Linked DNA regions of Xenopus tropicalis. The protein of the gene in region 1 interacts with the protein of each later gene in a biochemical or structural test. Links are inferred from orthologs where the notes say so. Each region holds a gene or a part of one and is shown in the gene's direction. Other genes may lie near its edges. The genes, in order: pbx1 and hoxb1.

Evidence for each region.
Region 2: the proteins of pbx1 (region 1) and hoxb1 are reported together in a solved structure, tested with the Homo sapiens proteins (2 studies listed by BioGRID and IntAct, with this or other methods). The link is inferred for Xenopus tropicalis from reciprocal best matches to the Homo sapiens genes PBX1 and HOXB1.

Annotation. Positions count from the first base shown.
Region 1 is NC_030680.2:108,212,343-108,216,929, reverse strand, and holds the start of pbx1 (pre-B-cell leukemia transcription factor 1), read left to right. Parts: upstream 1-1,547; 5' UTR 1,548-1,810; coding exon 1,811-2,001; intron 2,002-4,587. UniProt on the Homo sapiens protein: Transcription factor which binds the DNA sequence 5'-TGATTGAT-3' as part of a heterodimer with HOX proteins such as HOXA1, HOXA5, HOXB7 and HOXB8. Binds to the DNA sequence 5'-TGATTGAC-3' in complex with a nuclear factor which is not a class I HOX protein.
Region 2 is NC_030686.2:11,996,219-12,000,584, reverse strand, and holds the start of hoxb1 (homeobox protein Hox-B1), read left to right. Parts: upstream 1-1,384; 5' UTR 1,385-1,453; coding exon 1,454-2,045; intron 2,046-3,138; coding exon 3,139-3,461; 3' UTR 3,462-4,164; intron 4,165-4,366. UniProt on the Homo sapiens protein: Sequence-specific transcription factor which is part of a developmental regulatory system that provides cells with specific positional identities on the anterior-posterior axis. Acts on the anterior body structures.

The DNA of each region.
Region 1 (4,587 bases):
CTGTTAAAGTGCTGTAGATTAGTGTCAGTTTATAGTATTACACATTTTAGGAAATGATGGTATCTGCTGCTTATGGAACTGTTATTGTCACTGATAGTATATCCCTGTGTCTGTATGTATATAATAATTCTACAATTGTTATTCTGTCCAACCAGTGCACCCTTCTTTTGCAACTACAATGAATTCTGGGACTTCAGTTATACTTGTTAACATTCTTTTGGCATATCTTTGTATATTTATCTAAGAATTTATGTGCTTTTAATACCCTAAATAACACTTTCTAGCCAGTGATAACCTATCAACTTCCCCTGACCTAGAGCAGTGTCACACAGTAACCACTTACCTGTTGCTATGTCTGGTTTCTTCAACATGGCAATGACAGTTGTGGCCAACCTGACACTCTCTTGCTAACACTGCACATTCACTCAACTGAAATATAAGTAACTATGCTGTGCAAGATTTTATCACTGCATAAGGACCTAACATTTCAGGGCACATCTACTAAGGGAATTATTGTGAATAAACAAATTACTGGGCCCTTCTAGCTTATGAACTTTCAGGATGATAATAAGGTGCAGCACTCTATACCCCTGAGCCCAAATCAGCTACTGAATCTGTTCTATTGTTATATTCTAGAATCTTTTCTATTGTTCTACCCCGGTTACTGGTTAAAGGGACATTACCTACCAGTTATTAAGTCAGACACCAATAGTTTAAACATAAGACACTGATGATTTTTATACATGATTTTCTTGCTTAGTCAAACAAGACTCACTCATATCTATGTTTAGTTCAAATATAACTATGGTTGTGTCTTTTTATAAACAGTTCTAAATGTACTTATATTTCTACTTATATGTTGCCTTTATTTTTAACTTGTACTTTAGTCTGGGCCCGCTGGGGGGACACTCCCACAGTGTGGGGACCGAAGAGCTTTCACTTACACCAAAACAAGCGAAGACCCAAGTGAACACCAGACCGTTTTATTCCCAATCAATCGCGCTCGGGTTCTCGGCAATACTAAGTTGTACAATAGCAAACAGGCCGATTTAGAGTCTGTAACACCGACTCAACTATTACGTAGGGCCCCTCAATGAATGGGGCCCTCTGCATTTTATTGCGTTGGCAGGCATTCATGAAGCACAAGGGTTAAGGTAAAACGAAAGCAAGTAGGGGGCAAAAGCACTGAAATCCACCCGGGCAGACCCACTAAAGCCTGGCTTTGTCCAGAGGAATTACTCCTTCTAAGATACCCATACACCTCTCCCAGCCTGCGCTAGCGCTTTAAGACCCCGGGGCCACTGCCTTCTCTTTTCTTTCTGCTCTTCTTTTCTCTCTTCCACATTCCCCACCTCTGAACCTTGTTGATTGACAAGAGAAAAGCTAAGGGGGAGGGGAGTGACCTGCCAAACTACCAATCCAAAGCCAAGGGGGGCGGTACATTACCTCCCAGTACGCCAATCGGCGTGACGGAAGGGGGGGCTAAGTCTCCATTCCGCGCTGTGTGCCAGCTCTGGAGAAGAGAGGGATAGACACAGGAGGGGAGGGAGGAAAGCAGAGTCTGAGCCCAAACAAAAGCAGGACACCGAGCTGTGTAGAACTTCCCTGGCCCGGTACAGACCCCACCCTCCCGCGGAACCGCCGTGCCTGGATACTGTACCTTTTCTTCTTGACTAGGACGGATTCCTGGCGCCCTGGGATTAACAGGAGGGAGCCACAACAAAGGCAGGAGAGAGAAGAACAATAAGAGTTCCCTGTGCGCTGCACAACACAGGCACAGGGTGCTGCAGAGCGGGGCTTGCTCCTGGAAATGGATGATCAGCCCAGGTTGATGCACAGCCACCCCGGGGTGGGGATGGCGGGACACCCCAGTCTGTCCCAACACATGCAGGATGGCACAGGAGCCAACGAAGGGGAGGGGGGCAGGAAGCAGGACATTGGGGATATATTACAGCAGATCATGACCATCACTGACCAGAGTCTGGATGAGGCACAGGCCAGGTGAGCTGGATCTTGCAAAGTGCTTCTTTCTCTCTTTTAGCAGCTTTAGGCTGGGACCCTGTGGGCATCAGGATACTATTTGTGAGCTTATACTTGTCATGTCCAGCCTGAGGCCCTCCACTTCTAACTGAGCAACAACTCACAGCATCCGGCTGTCAAGGGATGATGGGAGCTGTAGTTAATTGCTCCAGGGCCTCAGGGTGGACTTGCCTGATTTTTAGAATGGATGTGTGTATGAGGTTGGACCAGCAAACCACTTTTCCCCCATTAGCAAAGTAACTGCTACTGTTTATCAACCTTGTGTTATATGTGAACGTGTATCAGACAACGTGCACCATAGAGCTGACAATCTACCTCTGTACATGGTGCTTTGGTTTATATACTTTTTATTCTTAGTGCTGTATAAGTAATAAGGTTTACTGTGTGCAATCCATTTGCACGACAGTAAGTGTGTACAGTATATACCATGTACATGTGTGCGCTAAACTGTTACCCCTAAGCAGGAGGGTTGCATTGTCTTTCACTTTTCCATTTTTACGGCAACATTTTTAAACTGGTACTGACCCAGTGGGGTTTGAAAAACACCAAATTATGCAAAAAAAAATCTATTTATCAACAGTTTCTATCTAGATCTTTGATGTTTAGCTTGTGACCCTCCAGTTGTTGCTCTGTTATAACTTTCACATCAGCTGTCAAAAGGATTCTGGGAGCAGCAGGGGGGCTGCAGGTTGAACATCCCTGTCCTATATGTATGGTATATTCATTCCTTAGAGGAAAAAGAAACGGGCAGGAAGAAGTTCTCCATCTGTCAGGGAAGCACTAGAGATGTTGAGTTATCCTCTGGGCCTCAAAATACGTTGTACTGGCAGTTCCTGCATTCTAAAGATCTGTTTACAGTTGTTCATTGTGATTCACGCCATATAACTATATACTGCATTCTATAATACAGAGAGGGACTTTTATATGTCATAGGTGGGATAATAACCTCATGTACAGAACTCATGTCCAGGGCACACTCATTTACAAAACACACTGATTTTATGGGGACGGGCAGAGTTTTTGTATATAACATATTTTAATATACATCTCTACACATAATCATTAAAAGCATAGCTTCATTATATAAACTTTTTATGATGTTGGTTAATTAAATAAGAACAGAGGTTCTGTGAATGGGAGTAAACATGGATTTTTCTGCCAAGGAAGATTTTTAGTACATGGGAAATCCAAGCAATATAATTACCTTTGTTTTGTAAATCAGAGATTTAAATACATTACTTATTGCATGGACTACACTCTCCATCTAATAGGGTTGAATGACAGCATTAAATAAGCTTTGTAAGTTAATTGTTTGACACTTTCTTATATAGCTAAACAATATTTCCTTAGTAATGAGAATCAATGTAGAGGGTTTGCAGTGAATTCTCTGTTGTGCATTGAGAATTTATGAATGTTTCTTTTGGTTTCCTTCTACTTTTGCCTTTGTTCAGCATTTCTAAATATTTAAAGAAGGAGGAATCCCACAACACCTTTCTCCTATGGTATAAATTCAACATGTTAACCCCAATCGGGTAAATAGAAAAAAAGCAGGCTTTTCAAGAGAAACGTGCAGTTGGCGGAACTAAATTTGAAATTACAGCACTCCTTCAATTGGATTAAAGGGATTTTGGATGGCATTTATCTAAAATGTGTTGCTGTCGCAGAGAAATATTTCCCCTGTACATGTGCACATTGCATGTATATAATTTCAAGGCACATATACCATTTATAAATATATACATATTTAATATGTGTAAAAAAAAAAAAATATATATGTGCTGAAAACTTGCAGACTAAAATATACAATTGAAATTCTCTCGCAACATTGAAATTACAAAAGGTTGAAGTATGTAACAAAATGTACTTAGTAGTAAGAAGTGTATTTTTGCTTGACTTATACAAAGCAAGAGAGCAGACCTTTCAGAATCTGTTAATTGGACATGTCATGCCCAGCCGTTCCTTTGTCAGCGTATAGAGATTTGCAAAGCTACTATGAATAAACGTAAGTGTGGATCACTCTGCTTCAGTCCATTGTAGCCAAACAGCGATCTTTGCTTATTATCTATAGTATGCACTGTGGACTGACAAAGGCTGGTCAGGCCCCAGTGTGTCGTTTAGATGCCTATCTTCCACTGTGGCAATTTTAGCTCTAGGTATTTTAGTTTTATTGTATTCATCTTGCTGTTTAAATATAAAATAAATCCATATTTGTCTATATTCTGAGAGTTTTTTTGTATTTACATGTTTTTCTAATTTATGTTTTTATATATTTTATTTTTTTCAAGCAATTCGTTTTCCTTATCTGACAGGCAAAATATAGTAGTAATAAAATCTGGTTTGCCTGTTGGAACCCAAGCCCCACATTAATACAATTATAATTCCTTTGTATACTGTACTTGCTGCAGGACAGGCAGAAGTACACATATAATGTAAACTTCAGGCACTACACCTCCCACTTACCCACAACAGCATGTGGATTCTGGGAGATGTAGTTCTGCAACAGCTGGAAGGTCATGTCCCAGTAAAAGACGTCTATACATAAAGTGA
Region 2 (4,366 bases), on another chromosome or scaffold:
AGACTGAGCGAACGAATGTCAAACAATAAAGCCAAACTTGAGAGCCTGCGAGTACTTACATATGGAAACAATTTAAATACCACATCGAGCTTTAACTGCGTGCAATATTAAATTAACGAAATACTTATTAAGAAATCCTTAATCCAGTCGCTGTCATGGAAAGTGGGGGGATCTTGATTGCCCCGCTAACTCTGAAGCACAGTTTGTTCGTTAATGTCCTGTCTTGTAATAAATGTGAAATAATGCCCCACTATTAAAAAAGCGTGGAACAGTCGTTTACCCTAGTTACAATAATTTGACATCATAAATACAGTCGTACAGAAGTTAAACATGCCGCTCCTCTGGGATCCATAAGACTGGCTTGAACAAATTGTTCATTAAAAGAGATTTAGATGAAAGACTTGGGCTGAGGAAGAATCTTGTATGAACTCTTGTTCCACATCCCCAGACCAGCGCAGTTAGTACATATTCTGACAAGTTTTACAAATGAGGGTGGGCGTCATATTGTTACTTGCCCTTGTCTCCCGTGTTGTAACAAGTAAATAAATGTTGCTTACCTAACCGATTTCTATTAACACGAAGAGTGTGTGGGAGAGACTCATTTCCCAATTCTCTCTTTCCAACAAAGACATTACAGAAAGGGAGACACCTCACTACCATGAGCCCAGTGGGCTATAAAATGCCCCCACATTAATCAAAGGGGAACGGAAAAACTACATCACTTTGACAAATACCCATGTTCAGATCGAAACGTCGTTTTGCGGCCATTGCGTTCCCTAAGAGCAAAGCCTATCCATCTAACGGAGACACTCACTTTCAGTACTTATTGTTCAAAGGGAATGGTTTATTCGTTCGTTTATTCGTTCAAAAAACTATTACAAATAATTCCAAACCAAATAAATAATTGGAATTTTTTTTTTTTTGTATTTATTTTTGTTTTAAACTGATACAAACATTTTCCAGAATGGAAATGGATGGAGGATGTTCTGCAAACTCTGCCAGATGGAGCTTTGCTTTTTTTTTAAAAAAAAAAAACCTTTAGATTAAACAGGGTTTTCATCTAATTTGCCACATCTCTTTCTTTTTGCTAGAGGTCTTTTTACACTTAAAAAAAAAAAAAGTCCTGAATAATTCCGAGTTTCCCTTTGGAGGCTCAGAAGAAAGATTCTGATGCTAACTTGTCGTTATCAGATTGATGGGCCGGGTTTGATTGAAGTCTCTTTGTCATGCAAATGTCACTGGGCCATGATGGATGGGGCCCAGATATCTGACAAGCTTCAGGAGGTCCTCAGCCATTGGTCCCTGGAGAATCACGTGTGCTGTGGGTGAGAGACAGGGGGTTTGAAGCCTGGCAAGGCATGGATGGAAGTTTACACATTTGACATAGTACCTAAAGGTTGTAGGGCAGAAGGAATCCCCCGAAAGCAGGTTGACCCTCCTCCATCACTGGCAGATGGACAATACCAGAATGAGCTCCTTTCTGGACTATGCAATTTGTAACCGTGGGACGAGCGCCTACTCACCCAGAGGATACCATCACTTTGAGCAAGGGACGCCACCCTTCCCTGCCTGCCCGGGTACCAATGACATTTATAATGGGGATGGAAGGTTTGTGGTAGGAGGGGGGAATGGTGTCCCAAGCCATCTCCACCAGCAGAACCCCAGTTACCCTCCCCAGCCCAGCGCTGGGGTCCCCTATACCAACTCTCTAACAAGTTACACCCCACAGACTTGCAACCAGGCTTATGGGCACCAGGCTTATGCCAGCCCAGACGCAGATGGCATCTATTTCCAGCAGACAGCCTACTGCTCCAACACTGGGGCCAACTCCAACTCTTATTCTGATGGCTATTGTGGAGCAGTACCGGGGCCTGCCCAGTACCAACAGCACCCTTATGGGCAGGAGCACCAGGGACTGCTACAAGCCTACCACAACCCTCCTTCTATGCTACACGAAGAGAAGGAGCCCTCCTGCCCTTCAGAGCAAGCCCTACCCAACCACACGTTTGACTGGATGAAAGTAAAGCGAAATCCACCCAAGACAAGTGAGTACCAGCAAGAGCCATTGCTTCTCAGTGCGGCTATGAGTTATTATGGGCCTCCGCTTCACCTTATATCCATATACGTGGGCGAGAGCTATTACTGTATCATCAATCTTCTGTCATAGCCAGGGCTCATCAAGCTCCCACCCCTGCAATAAATCCTCTCATCATATACTACTCGCTCATCCATAAATGTACCACTGAGTCCTCAGAGTATGGGTGTATATATATATATACTAATGATAAACTAATATCTCTATATATACCACTGAACAGTGGGGCCTTGAGTCCTCAGAGTCTGTGTGTATATATATATATATATTCCAATGATAAACTAATATCTCTATATATACCACTGAACGGTGGGCCCTTGAGTCCTCAGAGTCTGTGTGTGTATATATATATATATATATATATATATATATTCCAATGATAAACTAATATCTCTATATACTATAGTGCATCTAATGCATACATTCAGAATGTGTGCAAAACAAATAATATCCAGAATATTTTGTTTTAATGGGGGGCTTAGAGATATGGGGTTCAGTTATAGTTACGACACTATCACTCTCTCCATCCAGCTAATAAAATTGTCCAATAATAATCCTAGGGCACAAAGGTGAGGATAGAAGCGAATATTTAGTCTTATAATACATCAGATTTGTAACATTGCCTTGTCATTTGATACAAAGTATAACAAAGCTCGTTTTCTCAACAAATATAGTTACGAATAACCAAGTGTCTCTAACTGAACTCGAATCCTGCTAAATATTCTTTAACGAATGGCCGTTTATATGCATGATTAGAGTTGTTTTTTTGTCAGTATTGTATTTTGATTTTTACTTGGCAAAAGTCTGGCGCAATTTCAATTTACTAGCCACAAAAAAGGAGTTGGAAAGCTAATGGCGTTTTAGGGTGAGGGGGGAAAGGAAATTGAGTAGTGTAGCCATGAAATGAATGGATTCCTGGGGTGCTCATGTTATCAGGGCTACTTACTGTATGTGTTTGCTCACCCCCTAACCTTCCCATAAACGGTTGTTAAAGTATTTCTATACGTTCTAATGAAAGTGTTCCCCTCTGCTTTGTGTCCCAGCAGCCAAACCGGTGGACTTTGGGCTCAGTACCCAACAGAACACCATCAGAACCAATTTCACGACCAAGCAGCTGACTGAGCTGGAGAAGGAGTTCCATTTTAACAAGTACTTGACTAGGGCCAGGAGAGTGGAGATCGCCGCCACCCTGGAACTGAACGAAACCCAAGTAAAAATATGGTTCCAGAACCGGAGAATGAAACAGAAGAAACGAGAAAGAGAAGGACTGGCCCCAAGCGCCATTAAGGGCTCCATGAAAGAGAATGGGGAGATGTCAGACCTGTCCAGTTCAACCTCCCCAGATGCCTCTCCCAACTCAGTGTAGCACAAGCAATGGACAGTAAGCAGAGCGCACATAGATGTTGTATATATTTTATTTTGTTCTACAAATACCTTCCTATTTATATACAAGATTAGTTTACAGGATCGTCATTGTATCCATGGAACACAAGGAAAGTGCCCGTTCCTCTCAGGGAACCTCAGATTTCAGGGGACACGCACTTGGAGAACTATCCATAAGCTCCTGTCTGATCCAAATGTGGCCTATTTATCCTTATTCCCATTGTGGGGGGGTGGGGGATGGGGGGGGTATAGTTCCTTCTGTTTGTTCTCTGGAATAGAAGCTTAGCCATTGGCATATTTTTATTTGATTGTAATTATATCATTAATGTTATAAGGGCTGATAATGTTTGATTCCAGTTATGGAACAAGATAGAATAAGAGGAAAATGTTATTTTAAAAATATTTTTTAAAATATCCCATTTTTGCACCTACACTATACTGGAGTGGTTGGCTATACTTTGTGCGCTATACAGGGTGACTTTAGGGGACTGCAATTGTTCTGACACACTATGGTCACAGCAGTCCTATAAAAGGAAAAAAGCAGCTATAAAACACTGCAAATGCATCTCTTGCTGTTCAAGAGACTGTGGTTGTAAGGCAGGAAGTATATTAGGGTGAAATGGTGCCTATAGTAGCAGTGGGGGGATAATAGCCTCTGGGAAGGGACTGGGGCTGTGGGATAGCAGGTATAGTAGGGAGAGATGGTGCCTATAGTAGCAGTGGGGGGATAATAGCCTCTGGGAAGGGACTGGGGCTGTGGGATAGCAGGTATAGTAGGGAGAGATGGTGCCTATAGTAGCAGTGGGGAGATAATAGCCTCTGGGAAGGGACTGGGGCTGTGGGATAGCAGGTATAGTAGGGAGAGATGGTGCCTATAGTAGCAGTGGG